Drosophila melanogaster: one gene and its partners. The protein of the gene in region 4 interacts with the protein of the main gene of each other region in a pairwise test. Each region holds a gene or a part of one and is shown on either strand. Other genes may lie near its edges. The genes, in order: Met75Cb, Inx7, Cnot4 and CG4835.

Evidence for each region.
Region 1: the proteins of CG4835 (region 4) and Met75Cb interact in a two-hybrid assay, tested with the Drosophila melanogaster proteins (one large-scale study listed by BioGRID).
Region 2: the proteins of CG4835 (region 4) and Inx7 interact in a two-hybrid assay, tested with the Drosophila melanogaster proteins (one large-scale study listed by BioGRID).
Region 3: the proteins of CG4835 (region 4) and Cnot4 interact in a two-hybrid assay, tested with the Drosophila melanogaster proteins (one large-scale study listed by BioGRID).

Annotation. Positions count from the first base shown.
Region 1 is NT_037436.4:18,468,831-18,471,397, forward strand, and holds Met75Cb (Met75Cb), read right to left. Parts: upstream 789-2,567; 5' UTR 769-788; coding exon 613-768; 3' UTR 548-612; downstream 1-547.
Region 2 is NC_004354.4:6,991,111-6,995,409, reverse strand, and holds Inx7 (innexin 7), read left to right. Parts: upstream 1-1,797; 5' UTR 1,798-1,996; coding exon 1,997-2,230; intron 2,231-2,527; coding exon 2,528-3,237; intron 3,238-3,307; coding exon 3,308-3,680; 3' UTR 3,681-3,798; downstream 3,799-4,299. UniProt on the Drosophila melanogaster protein: Structural components of the gap junctions.
Region 3 is NT_033779.5:10,394,900-10,402,751, reverse strand, and holds the start of Cnot4 (CCR4-NOT transcription complex subunit 4), read right to left. Parts: upstream 6,037-7,852; 5' UTR 5,770-6,036; intron 5,574-5,769; exon of another isoform or gene 5,105-5,573; intron 4,752-5,104; exon of another isoform or gene 4,718-4,751; 5' UTR 4,638-4,717; coding exon 4,533-4,637; intron 4,474-4,532; coding exon 4,360-4,473; intron 4,309-4,359; coding exon 4,159-4,308; intron 4,099-4,158; coding exon 4,003-4,098; intron 3,436-4,002; coding exon 3,217-3,435; intron 3,158-3,216; coding exon 3,040-3,157; intron 2,985-3,039; coding exon 2,073-2,984; intron 2,018-2,072; coding exon 1,883-2,017; intron 1,790-1,882; coding exon 1,754-1,789; intron 1,676-1,753; coding exon 1,481-1,675; intron 1,419-1,480; coding exon 1,158-1,418; intron 1,091-1,157; coding exon 1,011-1,090; intron 949-1,010; coding exon 885-948; intron 827-884; coding exon 419-826; intron 346-418; coding exon 190-345; intron 122-189; coding exon 1-121. Other genes in the region: Mdh1 (malate dehydrogenase 1), read left to right, coding at 6,535-6,537, 7,808-7,852.
Region 4 is NT_037436.4:5,478,009-5,484,205, reverse strand, and holds CG4835 (uncharacterized protein), read right to left. Parts: upstream 4,417-6,197; 5' UTR 4,357-4,416; coding exon 4,350-4,356; intron 4,211-4,349; coding exon 543-4,210; downstream 1-542.

The DNA of each region.
Region 1 (2,567 bases), about 13 Mb from region 4:
GATGAGAGGCCCCATCAGGCTGTCTTTTCCGGGCTCGAGTTCTCAGTTGCGAGCACAGGACCCCCTCTCACAGGCAGGAGCCAGTGGAATCCTGCACATGTTTACATGACGTTGGCCTGACTGCAGTCGCGGCTGCATGCAAAATTAATAAGCCATAACAAGTTGGTTTATGATGCGGCTTCCTGGGACTGGGAAACCGTTCTTCTTAGGGGCGAATTAATTAGCGAAGCAGTGAAAGGAAGGGGCATAAAGTTGTGCATTCAAGAAAGCTCTTCCACGTCCTTGCCAACACATCCTCGGAGTCATGGTGTGGATGAGGTAGCTGCTGAAGGTCGTTCAAATAATGGCCCATTGAGCTTACCAATTCATTCATAATAAGAAATCTAGTTATTTTCTTAACCTAAATCGATGGTTCTGAACAGTAAGAAGTATTGTAAATGATCTTCTTCTTAAGCATCTCCCAAAAGGATAGAATTACCATTAATGTAATGTCCACTCTTTTTATGCTGCACCCTCTTTTCCCATTTAACTTAAACATCGCGTATTTATTTCTGGTACATTTAGTACCTTAACGTTTTATTTCTTTAGGCATAGGACACTTTGGAAAGGTTCCTAGAATGGCAGGCAAGTGTGCCGGGCGTAATTGTAGTAGGCGTGGGGACCACAAGCCTTGTCCTCCGAGGTTTCCTGGCGTGTTGCTATCTGTGCATCCACAGAGCTGAGGGCCAGGCCCAGGAAGACTAGCAAGAAACCATTGAATACGTTCATCTTGTCGAGTAGTGCTGAATGATCGGCTGTGGCAGGTAGTGAGCTATTTATACCCGACTACACGTTGCAATTAATATGGATGCTACGTGATACGGCGTTAAGCTTGCCATTTAAGTTTTTCCGGCATTTAAATCCCATCACTTACGTAAGCTGTTCGCTCTAGTTTAACATTTCTCCGATGACCCTCTCTGTTGCGATGGCTCACTTGGCGTATGCTTGATGGCAAATTGGATGCCATCAATGCTTGCCCGAGTTTGCAGGCGCACATGAATCGTATGTTTGTTCTGGCTTCTTTCGGCACAGTACTTAACTTTGACGCGATTATAAGTCGCATACAGCGACAAACGTCCAGTTCATGTAATCGAGCGAGTTGGATACGCTGAGACAAGGCAGCATGTCTTTACTTCAATATTACGATGAAGTCGGCAAAAACTTACATTGTTGACTAATAAAGTCAAAGGGCCTCTGTGAAAACTTCCGCGAAGATGCACATTGTGTGTTGGTTTCGGGACTCAAGCGTAGTCTCACAGATGTGCTGTTCTCAGCTGTTCTTGCCGTCAACTCTGGCGCTGGCGCAAGAGGTGGAATAGTACCATGAAAGATATGCGTATGCTGCCAGCTTTGTGAGGAGCATGGTGGAAAAAGAATACTAGGCAAGTGCCCATCAGCGGGTCAAGCCACCCCAACAAGCAGAAGCGGATCAAAGAACCCGCCTTTTGGTTGGCAGTAGACATAATCGTCCCAAGGGGCGTAAACGCTTTCCATTGCGATTTTCGCACGCTCGCAAAGGTACAGGATGAGATATCCCGGAGGTTCCCAGCCACACAGTTCTGGCATTGCAGGAACCGCGTTGTGGACGTTCTCAGATTCGAAGAAAGAAGGGAAATCTTAACTGCTGAACACAATAGTGCATACAGAGCAGAGCAAGAAAAAGTAAAGCAGGTATTGTCGGAATACTATTTCCCCAAAATATCCAAGCTGGCCAATGAGATCGTGCAGAACTGCAGGACTTGTGCGAGGGCCAAGTAAGATAGGCACCCAATGAAGCAAGAATTCGGTGAAACGCCAATACTGTCACACAATACTGTCTTGCACAAAGACATTTTTTTTTATGCTGACAACAAGTTATTCCTCACTTGCGTCGAGAAGTTTTCTTAATTTGCCATCGTACAACCTACCGCCTCGAGAACTATTAAAGACCATGTATTGCGACAACGAACCGTCGCTGAAGTCGCACACGATCGTGTCCATGCTTTGCAACAACTTTGGTGTAAGCATTACAAATGCATCACCACTAAACAGTACCTCCAACGGACAGGTGGAGCGTTTTCACATTGCTGGAGCTAGCCAGGTGCATAAGGATAGACAAGGGCATAAGTGATACGGTCGATATAGTAATGTTGGCCACTATCCAATATAATAATAGGTCGATTCACTCGGTCATCAAAAGGAGATCGGCTGACATCGTCCTAACGCAACCTGATGAGCCACACGTAGATTTCCACAATAGGATCCAGAAAGCTGAAAGGGATAGAGAAAACGCCTCGCCGCAGAATAGGGTATTCGATGTTAGCGAAAAGGTGTAGGTAAAATCCAACCGAAGACTCGGCAACAAGCTCATGTGCGAGGAAAGAGCTGTAGAAGCGGACATGGGGACCACGATCCTTATTGAGGAGAGGGTAGTCAAGGACAACAAGGACAACATACAACTCACTTACTTGTTTAATCACTTGTACTTTCCACATCGAAGGAAATTCAACACACTCTTTTCACCGACTGTGTCCTCAAGCTGTAACTCA
Region 2 (4,299 bases), on a different chromosome or scaffold from region 4:
TCGAATTTCGTTTTCATTGTGGTTTGCTTTATTTAAATTTCATTGCAAAATGGCCAAAGACAAAAGAACGTGCATGGCCTATCAGTTTATATCAAAATCTGGGCTATGCCAATAAAGCAATGCGATTGTTATTTGAACATGAATCAATGAACTTTCGTCAACTGGGAGGCGTAAGCAAAAGCAAAAGTAGTAGCCGTAATCATAGCAATTTCCTGGGAAACCCAAGTAGAGGTAAATTCGAGCAGTCAACCGGCTAAAAATGTTGCAATTACTAATATAGTTAACTGGTCTCTAGTTACGCACGACTTATAAATGTTATATGTACGTATGTAAAGGGGCCATTTTTGACTATCTTATCCGGCAAAGTTTTGGAGCGGCCACTTGAGCGCTTAAGTAATAAGCACCAAAATACAATGCCTAGGCGAGCTATTTAGATAAGCAACAGATATATGTAGATACTTATGAGCTGATAGTGCGAATCTCTGTTGGAATTCCGTTACATTCTAGAAAGTAAGTAAGCCAGTCACTCGTTGTCTTTTCTGGGGATTGACTGGAAGATAAGATTGTCGGGGCCAAAGAATGAAATACAATAGTGCGCAGGGTGAATATCCACCTGATTGCCTTGCGTGGAACCTTGCAACGATATCGCCAAAAAGGCAAACAGCCGAGCAATAATCCATCTTAAGAAGAAGAGTCTCAGTAAGTATGTACATAGCCCTCTGTCTAGCACTGATCTGGGTCAATACGATAACGCCAAGCCGATATATGTCCGCTTATCCAATTACTGTCCCATCCATCAGAATAGGCAGTATTGAATCAATATGGGTGGCGATAGCGGCACGCTTTAAGACCCGGAGAGTTCCAGATTACGGCGGAATTTGCAATTCCACACTTGAATGATTTCAATGCAAGTCTCTATGGTTATTCTTAAAACCAAGTGATCATTTCTTGCATCACTAAGGGATTTTTGCTATGTTTTTGGAAGTGTAACTAATTTGCTGATATCCTGAATCTCTTGAGTCATATATGTACATATATATTTTCCCGCACTGATTCATATTTCCTATGATTGTTTGCTTGGTTATCTTGGCCTCTTTGCTCTTGGATCTTGGATGAATTTCGATGGGTGGGAAGTTACTCACCCACCCACCAGGGCGAGATTTAGCCAACTTACCGATGAGGTAAACCCTGAGAAAATGAGTATTATTTTCATAATTTCTTTCGCTCTTTCTGTGACTTTCGTCTTATCATTTTCGGATTCTTATGAAGCCACGAGCCGAATACATGCCGAAGTACTCATGTTTGGGCGAAATTTGAAATATGACCGAAAAACTTCGGAGTTTTCTTGGGTATCAAGAGAGCCCTACACTGAAAGAATTAAATTGCTAACATTTTAGACTGAAACCTAAGTGACAAAGATTGTGCCCCTCTCTCAGCTTATACTGCGAGTCAGAAGCTGAAAAAAATTTCTTTTTTTTTTCTCATAGTCCAATAGTCTACGTAAGTCCTGCTAAGTGTAGCGCACTCCAGTAGGTTCTCATATTTCCCTTACTCTTTTCTTGGACAACTCTGAACTAAACACAATACCATTGCTGATTCGGCATTTCCGTGTATTTCTGCCCGACGAAGTTATCTTATCGGGCCCGGGCGACTCTCCTGGCCAAAAATGAGCGGTCGATAAGGCGCCAGAAAGCCCTCTCCGACGAATGTGGAATGGTGATGAAGATCGGCGAACGGGGACCGGAGACCGGAGACCGAAGGTTCCGAGACCCGGAGACCAAGTGCAGAGTCTCGAGCCTTGCAGTTACGAGGAGCTAGCCGCGGCAAGCGGAGCGCACAAATCCATCCGAACCCAGAAGCCAGCCCGTTTCCAATTGCCACCCAGCCATAGTTGTCGTAATCATCGTAAGAAAGTGAACGAAGTAGAAGTGGGATCGGATCGGATCGGATCGGGGCCAGAACCTAACCCAAAACCGAAGATAACGAAGGCGTTACAATGCTGAACACCTTCAGTTCGGTGAGGCAGTACCTCAAGTTCGATCTCACGCGTGTGGTCATCGACAATATAGTGTTCAAGCTGCACTATCGATGGACCTTCGTAATACTCCTAGTGGCCACCCTCCTGATCACGTCGCGCCAGTACATCGGGGAGCACATCCAGTGCCTATCCGACGGTGTTGTGTCTCCGGTCATCAACACCTTCTGCTTCTTCACGCCCACCTTCACAGTGGTAAGTCAGCGGGGTCACAAAGGGAAAATTATAAGAGGTCACCAGGGAATTAAAAAAAATATCTATGTACGGGGTACACAGAAGTATCTATTGAGAGCAACTGTTATCAATACTCTATTTGATTATTGGTTAAAACTTAAATAGGGTTAATCGATTTAGAGTCGTTTTATTGCTATTAGTTGGTTGATATATGTTGCCACATACCCATTCCTGAAATGATCAAATGATAGAATAGATTTTATTTATGTGCCTTGGCGGCAGTAGATCATTTATTAACATAGCTTGCACCCCAAATAGGTACGTGACCAGAACCAAACTGCCTACAGGCCGGGAAGTGAGCCACCTGGTATAGGGGCATTCGATCCCGAAAAGGACACGATCAAGCGGCATGCATACTACCAGTGGGTGCCCTTTGTCCTGTTCTTCCAGGCTCTCTGCTTCTACATTCCCCATGCCCTGTGGAAGAGTTGGGAGGGCGGCCGGATCAAGGCCCTGGTCTTTGGCCTTCGAATGGTGGGTCTAACGAGGTACCTGAAGAACGATAGTCTGCGTATCGGCAAGCTGAACATTCCCTCGATGGCGGAGGCGGAGGAGCGGGTCAAGGACATTCGTCGCACAATGATCGACCGGATGCGGCTGAATCAATCGTGGGGTGCCCACTTGGTCTTCGCGGAGGTGCTCAATCTGATTAATCTTCTGCTGCAGATCACATGGACCAACCGTTTTTTGGGCGGTCAATTCCTCACACTGGGACCACATGCCCTGAAAAATCGGTGGTCCGACGAGCTGAGCGTTTTGGATCTAGTATTCCCGAAGATTACCAAGTGCAAGTTCCACAAATTTGGTGACTCTGGCTCCATTCAAATGCACGATGCCCTTTGCGTGATGGCGCTGAACATCATGAACGAGAAGATCTACATTATTCTGTGGTTCTGGTACGCCTTCCTTTTGATTGTTACTGTTCTGGGACTGCTTTGGAGAATTTTAACCCTGTGCTTCTACAGAAAGTGAGTGGATGGATATAGGTGTGAAATATGTTTTCATAATGTGATAACCCTTCTAACCCACTTTAATTAGTGTCACATTTACCCGCTGGTCTCTCTATTGGGCCAAGCCTGGCCAACTGGACGAAAACGAATTATTGGCGGTAATTGATAAGTGTAACTTTTCCAACTGGATGTTCCTTTTCTTCCTGCGCTCCAACCTTTCGGAGTTCCTATTCAAGAAGGTTATCTATCATTTGGCTAGTGAGTTCCCCAATCCCGATCACGATAACGATGTCAATGCCTATCGAGAGGCACCGCCCACGCCCGCTAAGAACCGTTATCCGGAGCTCAGTGGTCTGGATACGATTGATTCACCACTCTTGCACCTTCGACGCAATGGCTCGCCCTCTGCCGGCGGAGCCCAAGGGCCATCGACTTCGGATATGGCAAAGTTACCTGTATAATTTATGCATTTCAATTAACGCTAGGCAATTAATTATTGGAGCTTTGTCTTGTTTACACCTGTTTTTTTTTTATATATATATATGATCATTTCATTATAAATATATTTATTATTAAGAGACTCGGCTTTCAGCTTTATCCAACAGGTTTTTTTCGGGGCTCACATAAAGCAAAATCTCTCAAAATGGCCGACAGAAAAACAGTTATTTTGTGTGAGGTATTTTGAAAAAAAAAGTGGGTAAAAAGCACAACAAAACCAAAACCGACCAGACACCTTTCGGAGGGGCGTGTGGGCGTGGCCGACAGTTTGTGTCGAGTGGCGACTGCGGTTGGGTGACCCAGTTCGAGTGATCCGTTGTGGTTTCGAAAGTGTTTGTTACTGAGCTGCAGTGTTCAGTTCAGAGCTGGGTCACAGTTTGTACCCTCCCATCTGACTGTGAAGTTTCAATAGATGTGCATGACGGTATCCCCGATTACGGACGGTTCTCCAGGTGAGTTATTGCTACTGTAAGTTTTATATATTTTCTATGGTTTTGGGAAGTTTAAGTGGTTTTCATCGAAAACATCCAGAGATAGGAGGAACTCAACTTCTGAAGTCAACGCTTCCAGCTGCATTAAGAC
Region 3 (7,852 bases), on a different chromosome or scaffold from region 4:
TTTAAAAACTCAAGCATGCCCTGAACATTGGCATTGACCTGTGGCGGCTGCGTTTGTTGTCCGTTCAGCAAACTATTGGGCATCCCCATAGGAAGCATTTGCTGTGCCTGGTTGTTGAAACCTGCAAGTACACAATCCGATGCATTTTAATCGACTGTTGATATGTAAACTCTTGGTTGCCCCACTTACCACCACTCTGGGAATTTTGCTGTTGAGCCAAATGCTGCAAAAATAAATCCTGTTGCTGCTGAGGATGTGGGGGAATTTGGTTTTGTGGAAAAGAAGAATACTGTCTAAACGAAAGTATAGCCGGATCCATTGAAGTCCAATCACTGTTGTTGTAAACTGTTGCGAATCCAAATAATTTGATTAAACAGTTTTCTCGGTACCAAAAAATGTAATCATTTCAATTACTTACCCTTGTTGTGAGCCATTGGATGCTGCAATTGCGAATCACCCACGGGCTGTCCCGGGTTCTGGTGCATGCCCATCGGCGCATTCCAGTTGACACCCATTGGCATTTGGTGCTGTCCCTGGGCACCGCTGTTGCCCACCCCATTGACGGGCATGTTCATGAAGGGTATTATTTTGCTGGTGAGCTGCAGTCTGGATGCACCGCCCAAGCCCAATGTGTTGACGTGATTGAAGCCTGGCGGCGGCATGCGAGCTCGCTGCAGGTTGTCCACCAATTGCGGATGGGGTGGAACTTGAGGCTGTGGCGGCAACTTCGGCAAGGGGTTCTCATTATTAATACTCTGTTTTTGGACCACCTCATTTTCCATAAGTTCAGCAAGTCCCTTTTGGGTCTCAACGAACGGGTCGAATCCTTTTAACAAGCAGAATCAGTGAAAAGGCTTTGAAGTGAGATATAAACAAGGTCTTACCTAAGTCATCGTCGACTATCGAGTTCTGTGTAAACCGATTCTGCTGAGATTGCGTGTTTGGAGGCTGGAAATCGAAACAAATATGATATTAGCATGTTGCTTTTTAAATCCATTTGAAATCATTACCATAAATTCATACATTCCCATCATTCTCTGCTTTTGTTGCTGTTGCTGCTGCTGCTGCTGCTGCTGCGAGTTAATAAGTCCTAGGATAACAACGTAAATATTATTATTGCGGGCTGGCCAGCAATTTCATTGTAAAGTATGTCCCACCATTTTCGACAAAAGGCGAATTCAGTCGATTGCTTTCCAAAGAGGCCGCCACTCTTTGCGGCTCCGGCACAGCACCGTTCCCATTGATTTGAGGCGGATGTCCATTTAGATACTGATGGTGTGACTGCGGCTGACTTTTATGGAAATCGAAGAACTTCGACATGTTGCCGCCAAATAGATTTTCGCCTGCGTGCTGTTGTAATAATTGTTGCTGAATGATTGCATTGGCTTGAGCTCTGAGCTCATAAGCTCTAAGGAAATCTAAAAGGAATTAATTACACAATTATTAAAGTTGCAGTACACCACAGTAGGAATTCACCTACCATTCGCAGGACCGTTGATTTGCGTCGCAAAGTTGTTGCGTTTCTGTAATTCTTGCATGCGAAGGAACTCCTCCTGTTGCAACACCAGCTGGTGGCGCAAATTCTGATGCTGCTGCAAATGTTGCTGCTGCAACAGTTGCTCCTCCATGTGCTGCGTGTTGCCCATCATCACATTTTTGAAGGCTTCCTCCCACTCTGTTTATGCAAAGGATGGATAAATTAAGAATAAATATGAGTTAATTCAAATACATGCTTTAATAATGAAACCATTACCGTTTGTATTGGATGCCTTTTGGATTCCATCAATGTCTGTTTAAGCCCGTTGATATTTTTTAGCAGTACCGAAAAATGAGAAAAAATAAATTAAAGAATTCTCTTTATTTTCAAAGATTCGTAACTTACCGTTGACCAAGTCAGGTAAATGAGACTGTCGCATTTCCAAATCTAGCTTATTCTTTAATATGGGTGCTTGCTGGAATGATGGCGATGTGAAAAAGCTAGGCGTGTCATCGAAAATGTTCAGCTTAGATAGCGCATCTGCAACGGAAAGTGTTAGCAAAGTGTGGTGGACTAAATGGATAAGGTACAATACCTGTTACTCTGCTTCCATTATCCGCCAGACTCGGTGGTTCGACTGGATCAACAACGGGTAAGCATCCTTCGACTTCTCCATTGCCTGGCGCAACTGCAGCGGGACTGATGTCCTCAGAGGACTCAGCTGTTGGCAGAATCGTTTCGGCCTCGACAATTGCCTCGTTGCTCTTTTCGAGCTCCTCCTGAAACTTTACACTTTCTTGCTGGCTTTCCGAATTCACACTATTGCACTTTTCCTCCACATAATCACCAGTTAAACTCTTCTCACTTAAGCTACTCTCAGAGACGTGTCCTTCGCTATTTTCGCTACAAGAGCTCACAGATCTTTGAACGTTTGTTCCCGCTAATCTCTTTTGTGGTAAGTTATCTTCACAGCTTTCTGTTACTTCCGCCTTCTTTTGTCTTATTGTACTCTCGCTTGTTTCAACCCGCTCCGCCGGTTTACTTGCTGCAGGTGCTGGAGCAGCTTCCTTGCTCTTCTTCTGCTCCTTTGCACTAGCCGTGGTCCGATCTTTTCCACGATCCGCCCTCGTTCTATTGCTAGAGGCTTGCGGCGGTTCTGCCTTGGTGGAAGCCGGTGCATCCGCCGTAGCCTCTGCGAATGTCTCAGTACTTGTGCTGCTTCTCGTTTCGGGAACATAGTTCTCCTTGTTCGAGGCATTGGCGTTTGTATTGCTGCCGTTCTTATTCTTCGCCTTGTTCTTCTCGTGCCTCTTCTCGTTGCGCAGCTTTTCCCGTTTACTTTTCCCACTGGAACTGGTCGCAGTGGCAGCCGCCTCTTTGCCATTGATGGGCGAGACCGATAAGCTTGGCCAGGCCTCCTTTTGCTGGGCATTACCTGATGCACTTGAACCATTTGTACCCGATCCAGAGGACGAGGATGACGCTGACGATGACGATGGAATCGCGACTGATTGGGTATAAACATTATTAAGTCATTTAGTATGTAGCTTGGCTGAAATTACCATTTGCTTTAGAAGCTCCATTACCATTTACAATACCTGTTGCATTCGGTCCCAATGACGCAATTAGAGTATCGTGCAGGCGCTTCTCGTACTCCAGGTGCTTTCCCTGATGCATTTCCTTTAAATATCCGGACATAACATTTAAATACGGACAAATTTAGTTATCTCACAACTTACCTCCTTTGTGAAACTGGCCTCGGGATCGCCCAATTCATGTAAGTACATGCAGTCGCCCTTGGGACACTGCTGGTTCTTCATGAAGTGGCTACAGTATTTGGTTGTCCCCAAGCTGGTCTTTATAAGCCGACCGTCTATCATAATATTATTGACGCTTTGAATGGCCCGCAAGGCATCCGAGTTATTAACATATGTGACATACGCAGAAGCAGATGGACCCTTTAAAATCGAAAAAATTTAAATAAGCAATGATGGCAGAGTGTGAAACGCGATTCGGTGGACCGAAAACTCTGATACCCTCGCAGTTTTATAGAAAGCAGGTTTATCAAATGTTACGCTTTTTGATTTGTATACAATAATCGGGGTTATTCTAAAATAGACTCTTATCATAATTGGTCAAAAGTTGATTTTTTTAGCATAAGCACGGAAACAGAACGTAAATTCCGATCCATTTAATCATAAATTAACAAGAAATTTTTGCATTTCGCACACAATTTTGCCTAAAATAAAAAAATACATATATATATTAATAAAAAAGGTTAAAAAATAAACTTAAACTTCTTGTTATAAACAATGTTCGCTTACCAGAGCAGCTAACAACAAAAGGTTCAAATTCATTTTAATCGAAAATAAATTTTGGTAGATACACGTAAATCTGTTCAGTTTCATTGAAAACGTGCCATTATCAAAGTTTTCATAGAAACCACCTAAAAATGACTAAGCAACTCGGGTATTGGCCCATTGGGCCATATGAATGTATAGAGGTAATAAATAATTGAATCTTACAACTCTTACCTGGACCCCGGCATACGTGGTACTTGGATTTATAACGACTTTATGAATTTTCCCATATTTACCGAAATACTCGTGTTTCTTTAATATCTGAAATGGCAATTGTGAGTGGGTTTGCTGTCGGTTATCTATGGCGCAAAATCAACATACGTCTGCATCAGCAAGTCGTGGCGGTAGCCCCACAACGAACACCAAGTTCTTTTGGACAACGCGAACGTTGGCCAAGTGTTTGCGGTTCTCGGTGATCTTTTGTTTTCGTTGTTGGTCCCTTTGGCGTTTCTGGGACTTGAAGGCAATCATCTAAAGAAGAGTAGAAGTTAGTGGAATGAATACGAGGTGACCACGACATACTTCCTCCTGCGACAGCGGCTTGAAGTCAGCTGGATTCTCGGGATACTCCTTTCGGCATGCCGGACACAGCTTGTTCTCATCCGTGCGGATCCTATGCCAACAGAATCGGCAAATCTGGAAGCAATAGCACTTGAATACGCTGCTGATAAGGGTGCTTTAATGACAGTATGTACCTGATATCCGCAGGTACACGGAAAGAAGGTCAGATCGTCCACCTCAAGCGGCTCCATACACAAAGGGCACTCGACTGCATCATCATTGCTGCTCAGGCCGTTCATTTTCAGGTGATTTGTTGATTAGTGATGAAGTACTCGCAGTTGTAATTTTTATAAAATTGTTGATAATGATGAGAACCAAGCTGTAGAAAGTAAATAAAATTTATATGTATAAATAATATATATATATATATATATTTGATTAGGATGAAGTTTTGTGTGTAGATTCTTAAATCTCAAGGATAGCTTTTGTAGGATGGATTTTCATCAGATTGGTATGAACCTGCATTGAAATAAGAAGAATATTCCCTTGTCTTGTACTTCTAAACTATGCATATATGATTTTGTCTACCTAAAACACCTAAAAAAAAGGAAGGCATGCGATCTTTATTAGATGAATCACCCCGTTATTTTGCACACTACGAAAAACAAGTTGTGGACATTTGGCACCTGTAGCTGACCACTTTAGTTAATATCCATATTTAACACTTTTTTTGATAGTTGCGATTTGTGCAAAATTGTTTACATACTGCCCATTGTATTCGTGGTATTGTTGACTTTATGCAACCTTTGAAAAAAGACAATTTAATGCGACCCGAAGAAGGTGTTTGCCGTCAGGTAATTTTATTGTGTATATACACACACACGCATATGCCTACAACGCAGACAAACAAACACAAAAAGTATTTTTAAATATGGATACCTTTTCATAACAAAAATCAAACCAGCTCGGAAATATACGCACTACCTGCGTACATCAATAAGTTCTCAAATTTAAAACGGAAGCTCTCTTTAAAACACAATCAAAAAGAAAGTACAATTTTCAAGAGTTTAATAACCGAACATGTGTGTGAGTATGGCGACATGCAAATACGTGTGGGTATTAAGCAAAATTACTAGAATTTGCATCGATATTTGCGTATGCATTGTAAAAGCACTTAATATGTGTACATCAGCAATTTGTTAATCCACTATATACGCACACATATGCGAGTGTTTATGTACATAAGCGTACATTGTTCACGCTGCACTTATTTACCAAACCACAGCTGTGATTTATTGTTTATTAATTATGGCAAATCACGAACTCGTATAAAAGGGTAACGAAAATCGATTTTTAGACAATAACAAAAGGCTGGTTGGAAAGGAAAACGGCAAATGTTTAATGTACATAAGCAAGAGTATATATACATACACATATGTATGTACACGTAACACGTATGATTGTAGGTGTGATGTAGGTTTTCTTTATTCACTCTGAATAGCTGATGAAACGACGTTGCAATGGTTAATTGTGTTTTTGAACGCTTTTTAATTTTTATAAATACTTGGTAGCAAACGTATCAAACGAAAGTACTAAGGCTAAAAATAAACGCAAAGTAAACGAATGGATTCGCCAAATTAAAGACTCCAATTTTTTCCACAAGAAACATTCGATTTTTTTCCACAGCTCAAACTATCGATAATAGCAAGCGAAAAAATCACTTCACACGACTGCATTTGCGTATTTCAGATATGAAAATATAGCTAGGTACTAATTTTGTATGTGTAAACAAAGTGACCAAGAATAATGCAAAGAAATATGATATTTGATGCTTTTTCTGCAAAATTTTGTTGTTTACATTAACTAATTTAATAACTATATTTCTATTAATTTTTCATTTATCATCGTTTTATTTATTTATATATGTATTTACTTTTTTTTGGCAACTGTAAATATTAATAACAATAAGAGAACTCCTTAACTCTTTGTATTATTTAAAAATTTAGTAAATTTGTAAGGAGCAACATAATCGATTATTTTGCCAAAAACATATTGCGTTGGAGTCACGGCTACTTTTATTCAAAAAGTAGTGACTGGAAAATAATTGTGAAAAGTAACAGGTTCCCAATTGGCGATCCCTATTTACGTTTTTACTTGAAGTTCGTCCGTGGAGCGTTGCACCTGTGAAATTCTAAAATGGTAAGCTTGCCGGCGATTTCTCGCTACGCTCGTATAGTATATATCATCAAATTATTATTAATAATCTGCATATTTGATTATCAAATGTGAAGAATATGCATACATATGCATTCAAAGTGCCGTACACAATAATGTGTAGTTATGACGGTATGTGTGATTGGTCGCAATAATTTTTCTGGAAATTTAACATTCATTTGACCTCTCTTCATGCTAATCTTAAAAACCAAAAACCTTAGTGACGTCAATTCGAACGTATGCACAAATGTTGCATTTTCAGAGGCCCCCAAAAGCATGAATTTATTGCAAATGCGAGCTAATTGCCAATTGACGGCGATAAAAATGTTGTTTTCATGTTTTAATAGCTCTTGCCGGAGCAGATAGAGCTTATATAAACCGGATGATTGGAGGCGGTGAAGCAAAGTCCATGCAGTTCAAATCTGTCATATCTTATCAAAAATGCTAAATGCTCCCAGGGGTTACGCTTCCAATTGTTTGGAAGTTAAAAACTTCTTCAATGACAAATATATAATATAAAAATATAATATATGTTATGTTTAGTAATTCCCGTCTTTAGCTACATTTTACTGGAAACTATGCCCTGTGACTTTTCTTTAGGGCAAAACATAAATAGGGGTCAATTGCCACAAGTGGCCTACTTTTAGTGCCCTTAGGAAAGGATTAACTGGGATTGCGTAACGAGGATGGGCGGAAAATGCACTAGCAAGCAAAAATCAAAGCACATCACTTATAAAATGTTTTATTAAATCTATAACTATTGAAAATGCCAGCTCAGAGATAAATGGAGAGGAAATTTAAGAGTTCTAGCTAAAGTATAAAGTATAAAGTAAATTCGTTATCTATCGTAAACAACAAATGCAAGCTGATAAAGACACACTTCAAAACAGTAACAAAAAACCTGGTCACGCATTTGTTTATTTTCAGCTATCATATTTGCATTAATTTTGCTGAAATTGCACTTAAATGGGTTTTAATTCGGAAATGGCGAGCTGGATATATACGAAGTATTTTGTGTAGTTAGCAGTTTTCGCATATATTTCCTCGCCGCTAAGCGTCTAAAAATAAAATATAGATCCAAAGCCAAAGGCTGGATGAAAAATTCGCCCCTTATTACAGTATAATTAGTTTAGCTGCATCTAAACATAGCTAAGAACATTCTTGAAATAAAATACGGAAAATGCATAAAGAAATGGAAAAAGGAAGATGAAATACACTTAAAGGAATGTTCCTAATCGAGTGAATATATTTTCAGGCTGAACCAATTCGTGTTGTGGTGACCGGAGCCGCTGGCCAAATC
Region 4 (6,197 bases):
AATCTGATTAGACGAGCTTCCGAGGGTTTCAGCTTTGGGCCAAGAACGGCAGTATCAGGCTACGATAAATGGCTGAAACTTGTAACTGAGCAGGATATCAGACGTGGCATTGTCAAGGGGAAACTGCTTTTAGCCTGTTGCTAAAAATACTGTCGCGCGTTTGCGTCCCCTTGAGGGTCTTCGTTTGCAATCCTTTCGACAGGAGGTTCTGCAATTCCAATCGGCTTGTTACCTGTCCGGGGAATTGACTGTGTTAAGTGGTAAATTACTTTTTTTTTCTTGGTTCCGTTTTTTTGCGACATATTACGGGAAAAGGGTTTGCATGTAATTGATACTAAAACTGGAGCAAAGTATATGTCTAAAAAGTGAAACACTTAAAAAAGGACTTAGAAAGCCCTAGAAGTGTAATGTGTGAGGAATATGTTAAGCGATTCCCAGCTATTGAGCATTTGTGCATTTACCCAATTGATTTTTTGGGGTAGCAAAAAGAACAGAAATGGAAAAGATTATTGCTGTGATTTATGCTTTATTAATATATTTTTTTAAAATTCAATAAAAAGACACCTTTCATTGGGAACAGAGGTGCATTGAAGAAGATTATCATCGAAAATCGTTCCCTCATCGCAATCCACGGCATATGGAATGGGATAGTCACAGACGACATAGCGACCGCAATCATTGGGATACGGAAGCAGAGTTCCAAGAGCTTGGCCACAGCATATATTGGGGGTGTACGGATCTAGAGTTGTTGGTGTAGAAACTGTGGTTGTCGATTCAGTTGTTGTTGTTACTGTTGTCGATTCGGTGGTTGTTGTCTTTGGAGTTGTTGAAACGGTTGTTGGCTCGGTTGTCGTTGGGGTTGTTGAAATTGTCGTTGACTCGGTTGTCGTTGGGGTTGTTGAAACTGTCGTTGACTCTGTAGTAGTAGTCTTTGGAGTTGTTGAAATTGTCGTTGATTCCGTGGTAGTTGTTTGGGGAGTGGTTGTAGCTGTAGTTGATTCTGTGGTTGTTGTTGGGATTGTGGTTGACTCGGTAGTAGTGGTCTTTGGAGTTGTTGGCTCGGTTGTCGTTGGAGTTGTTGAAATTATCGTTGATTCTGTGGTAGTTGTTTTGGAAGTTGTCGATTCTGTTGTAGTTGTTTGGGGAGTGGTTGAATCTGTGGTTGTTGTTGAGATTGTGGTTGACTCGGTAGTAGTAGTCTTTGGAGTAGTTGACATTTCTGTAGTGGTAGCCTCGGGTGTTGTTGAAACTGTTGTTACCGGTGTAGACGAAGCTTCTGTACTTAAAGTTGTAAGCCCTGGTGTGGTTAACTTAGTGCTACAACCAGCTAGTTCGGGATCCATGCAGGTCAATTCCGTGGGACTAAACTCCAAACCATCCGGACAATCGTAACCAACTGGTATTGGATATTGGCACTTTATATACTTGCTACAGTTTCTCGGGTAGGGTACCAAGGAGTCGTCTGTCTTGCCTTCACAAATTCCATCTGCCGGCTTTTCAGTTGTAGAAGCTTCCGGGTTAGTTGTTCCTGGTTCCATTGTAGTAGATGATGGTGGTGTTGAAATTGTTGAAGGTGATTCAGAAGTATCAGTAGATAATACTGTAGATGATTCTGTAGTTTCTGTTGATTGTCCTGTAGATGATTCTGTTGTTGATTCCGTTGTTGATTCTGTTGTTGATTCTGTTGTTGATTCTGTAGATGGTTCTGTTGTTGATTCTGTAGACGATTCTGTAGAAGATCCCGTTGATGGTTCGGAAGGCGTTGTTGAGCCTTCCCCGTCTCTTGGTGTAGTCGTCGACTCCGATGGCTTAGCAGTGGTTGTAATCGAACAATTGGCGAGTGAAGCATCAACACATTTTCCAAGCTCCACACTAAATTCATCTCCTTTTTCGCATTCAAAGGCAACCGCAATGGGTCTATCGCACTGAATATACTTCGAACAATCGTTGGGATAAGCGACAAGGGCCCCATCCTCGACGTCGTCACAAGGTCCTTTCTGCGGTGGTGGTCTCGTAACCGCTGTGGTCGTTGTCGGCTCACTGGTAGTTGATGTGGTTGAAGTGTAGTCCCATCGACAGGCATCTGAAGGAACATCCGCTCCACACTTTTCAGTAATTGGATCGTAGTACTCCCCACAATTACAGACGTCCATCATGTAAATGTAATCATCCACACAGCGTATGAACCATTGACAATTGTCCGGATATGGGAATGTATCCCGACTGCTATTTGTACACATGGTCGGTTCCGGAGGAGGTCTTGTATAGCCTGGTTCTAGAGTCGTTGTGCTTTGATCACCCTCACAATCACTTTCATCCCAATCATCAATGCACTTCTCTAACTTGGAACTGAAGAATGTACCATCGGGACAGAAGAACGCTATGGGAATTGGTGAAACGCACACAATGTACTTGGTGCAGTTGTTGGGATAAGCAATATTCTCGTTCTCATTTCGACCACCGCAAATACCAGTTTTTGGGGCCACAGTTGTGGTTGTCCTTTCGGTGGTTGTAGCTGTGGACTTGGGTGTGGTATTTCTTTCGGTTGTTGTGGTCTCTGTCGTTGTTGTTGTTGTGGTGGTTGTGACTTGTGATGGTTTGCACGCATCGGGTGCCACATCAGGTCCACACTGACCTGTGCTGGGATCAAAATAACTGCCGTAAATGCAGGGTGCCAGAGTCCATTGTCCGCCGCCCAAGCAAAGATAATACTTGCTGCAATCATCCGGATAAGAAAACGAAGCTCCCAACTCCTGACCATCGCAAAGCTGATCTGGTCCCAAAGTTGTTGCCACTGTGGTGGTAGTCGTGGTAGGAGTGGTTTTTTCAGTAGTAGTAGTTGGTATGGTGGTTGGAATTGGTGTCGTGGTGCGATCTCCAAGGCACACAACATCATCTGGCTCATCGCATACAAGCAAGTCGGGATTGAAGAGCGTATTAGGAGGACAATGACCCATTTGCACTTGATTGTCTTTACATATTAAGTACTCCGAACAATTGCCTATGTAGGCAAAAATAGTGCCGTCCTTTTCATCTTTACAATCATTTGGATCGACATCAGAGGGAAGTCCATCTGTAGTGGTTACAATCTCTTCTGTGGTGCTAGAATGTATTTCCGTTGTAGACCCATCAGAAGGCAGTGTTGTAGGCGTTGAAGGAGTTGTAGTGATTGAAGGCGTCGTCGTGACTGAAGGCGTCGTTGGTTTGTTGGTTGTTCCCGGAGTTGTGGGGAATGGCAGGGGGTCACACCGCACCGAATCGGGTGTATCGCAGATGTGCAGCCAATTATTAAAGAGTTTATCCGGCTGGCAGTAATCCAAATCTGTGCAACCATTTTTGCAGGCCAAGTACCCACTGCAATTGTAAGGATACTCATAGAAACCATTTCCCTTCGGCACACAATAATCCTCTTCAATTCCCTCCGGCGTTGGACCGCAAACCACATCCTCCTCAGTTGTTGAAGTGGGCGGCATTTCTGTTGTGGTTGTAGGAAGGGGCAGCTCCTCGCAATCTGCCATATCGGGAGTATCGCAAATGCCAAGGTACTTATTGAATACCTTGTCTTCAATACAGTAATTTAGCACGGGCCAGCCGTAAGTGCAGTTTATATAGGCCTGGCAGTCATATGGATAATAATGTACCGAGCCATCCTCCTTGTTGCGACAGTAGTCATCTGAAATTCCCGGTGGTGCCGGTGGTGGATCCCAACTGGATGTTGGGAGGTAACTTGAGGGGGTAGAGGACGTTATCTCTGTACTGGTTCCGGTGGTACTTTCTGTCGTTATCTTTGCCGTACTTGATGGTGGTTCTGTGGGTTCTGGCGTTATCTTTTGAGTACTGGATGTTGGTTCTGGCGTAAATCGAGTAGTTCCATCCGTAGGTTCTGGCGTTTCAATCGAGTAGTAGATACATTCTACAGCTTGGGGATAATTACATTGCTGGGTCTTATTATCCCACCAGAGATTTGCGGGACACAACTTCACCGTGGGATAGAGACAGTCGCAAACTAGGAACAAACTACAGTTATCCGGATACGGTACCAAAGCACCAAAGTCCTTGCCCTCGCACATCACCTGGTTTTCGTATCGCTGTTCATTGTTGCAAGTTTCGTGACGAGGTTCGATCTTTGGCAGGGCCAAAACATTTAGCTGCCAGCTCCAGAATACGGCGATAACCACCAGAAGCCATGGCAAAGGCTTGAAAATATTATCTGGAAAAGGAAAGAATACAATAATAATACAAAAAAAAAAACATACAGAGACTATTACTAGTATTTAAGTTTAAATATTTATGTATAATTGACATAATAATTTATTGCATTGTACTTGCATAGAATATCTTAGATTTACCTTGCATAACAACTCCCCTTTCTAAATTGTACTATATATTTTTAATAGGTCTTTTCGCCTGCGAGTTTAACTCCACACTGACTTGTTAACTAGGCCAACTGTCTTGTCTATAGCAAAAGCTATTTCCTGATACAACGTCGGTAGCTTATATTAATGACATTTTGATTAGATTTAATTAGAAATTCTTTGAAATTTATAGAATATCGTTTTCATTCTAGTGATTGTGATTTGTGATTTTATGTTATCGTTAACTTCTGAATTATTTTTCTTAAGTGCCATTTCAACACGAGCAACACAAGATAGTTTCCGTAATATTCTAATCTAGTGATAAGCCAATTACGTATTGAAGTCTTATCGTGGCGTCATAGATTGTTTTGTTTATAAAGGTTAATTTTAAGCAAAATATAAGGCAGGAAGCTTCTCTGGGGTTTTCTTTAAGTATTTCCCCTACTGGTGTTTTTTTACACACGTATTGCTTGTGAAATGAGTGTCATTTTATATTCTTTCATTTCGAAGGTAAATCATTTTATCCTGTTCGCATGTGTTTTGTGTGCGCCTTTTGTGACTCTTATTGCTGCTGTTATTACACTTATTGTTCTTGTTCCAGTTCACGGTGTTGTTGGGTCTTTAATGAGCCCACGTGACCTTTCCGACAGCGAAGTTCGAGTCACAATTTATGATCAGCACTCGACGCGTAAATTACACGAATAAAAATGCGAACATAAACATAAATGAAGCTAGAAGTTTAATGCCCGGCAAGCCATTAAAATTAAGCGACAAAACATGAGTGGCACACAAAATACGGCATTAAGTAGAATTAGTTGAAAATGTATAAACAGATTGAAGAAATTTGTATCTCTAGTTTAAAGTGGATTTGCAAGCTGCAGTTGCATAGAAAGCTAGCCATGGTATTTCAATTTGTGCTGCAAATTACTTAAAAGCATACAAATCTATTTGTCTGAAGGATGTTTTTATGCTGTCTGGCTGACCTTTTTTCCATCCCTTCTTCAGTCGCCTTTGGGTTGACAAACAGTCACGAAGTTGGAAAATATAAAGTGCAGCCTGAAAGGACAAATCCATTAATATAAAAATAAAGTTGCATAAAAGAAAGTGCGGATTATTTAAGTACAGATTTTTTGAGATTAAAATAATAAATGGTTTTGGGTAAATTAAAGTCAGGAGTATGAATGAAACAATACTTATAGGTACTCATGATTACTCTTTTATAAAAAGATATATGAAATTTATTCTATACTTAGCATATTTTTCTTTGGAATTAGCTCAACAAATCAAATATAATCAAATGTTCCCACCTCTTTGGCCAAACTTGCTGCTGGACAATTTTTCAGCTTGATCTGTTGGCTGCTGTCAAGCGTTTGATCTGCAACAGATTGAACTATCAATTATGCCCCTGCATGCGACGTGACCAGCAACTGACATGTGCCACATGCCACACCCCATCCAAAATCTGGGAAACAAGAAGCAGGACCATCAGATGGCAATGTTAAAACGGACGTTTAGTTACAGCTGAGCACCTGCTCGCCTTTCTGTCCGCCTGGCTGCTCCTCAAAGGAATGGCGGCGGAGAAGCGGGTGAAAGCGAGGGAAAACGTGTCCTCCACGCAGCAAAGCTGCTCCTTGCCCCGTTCCACAACTCCTCCCCTTGTTTGTGTTGCATGAAATTGACCCGGTGCGTGTGTCGCCAGCGACTGGAAAGGATTCTCGGCGATCTGATGGGGGGTTTGTATATGGCGCAATGCATCCTGGGGCCTAGATTCATCACCGAGTCTGGCGGCATTCGTGTGTTTTTCCAGCTTCCAGAGATTTCACGTAAGCCCCTGTGAAACTC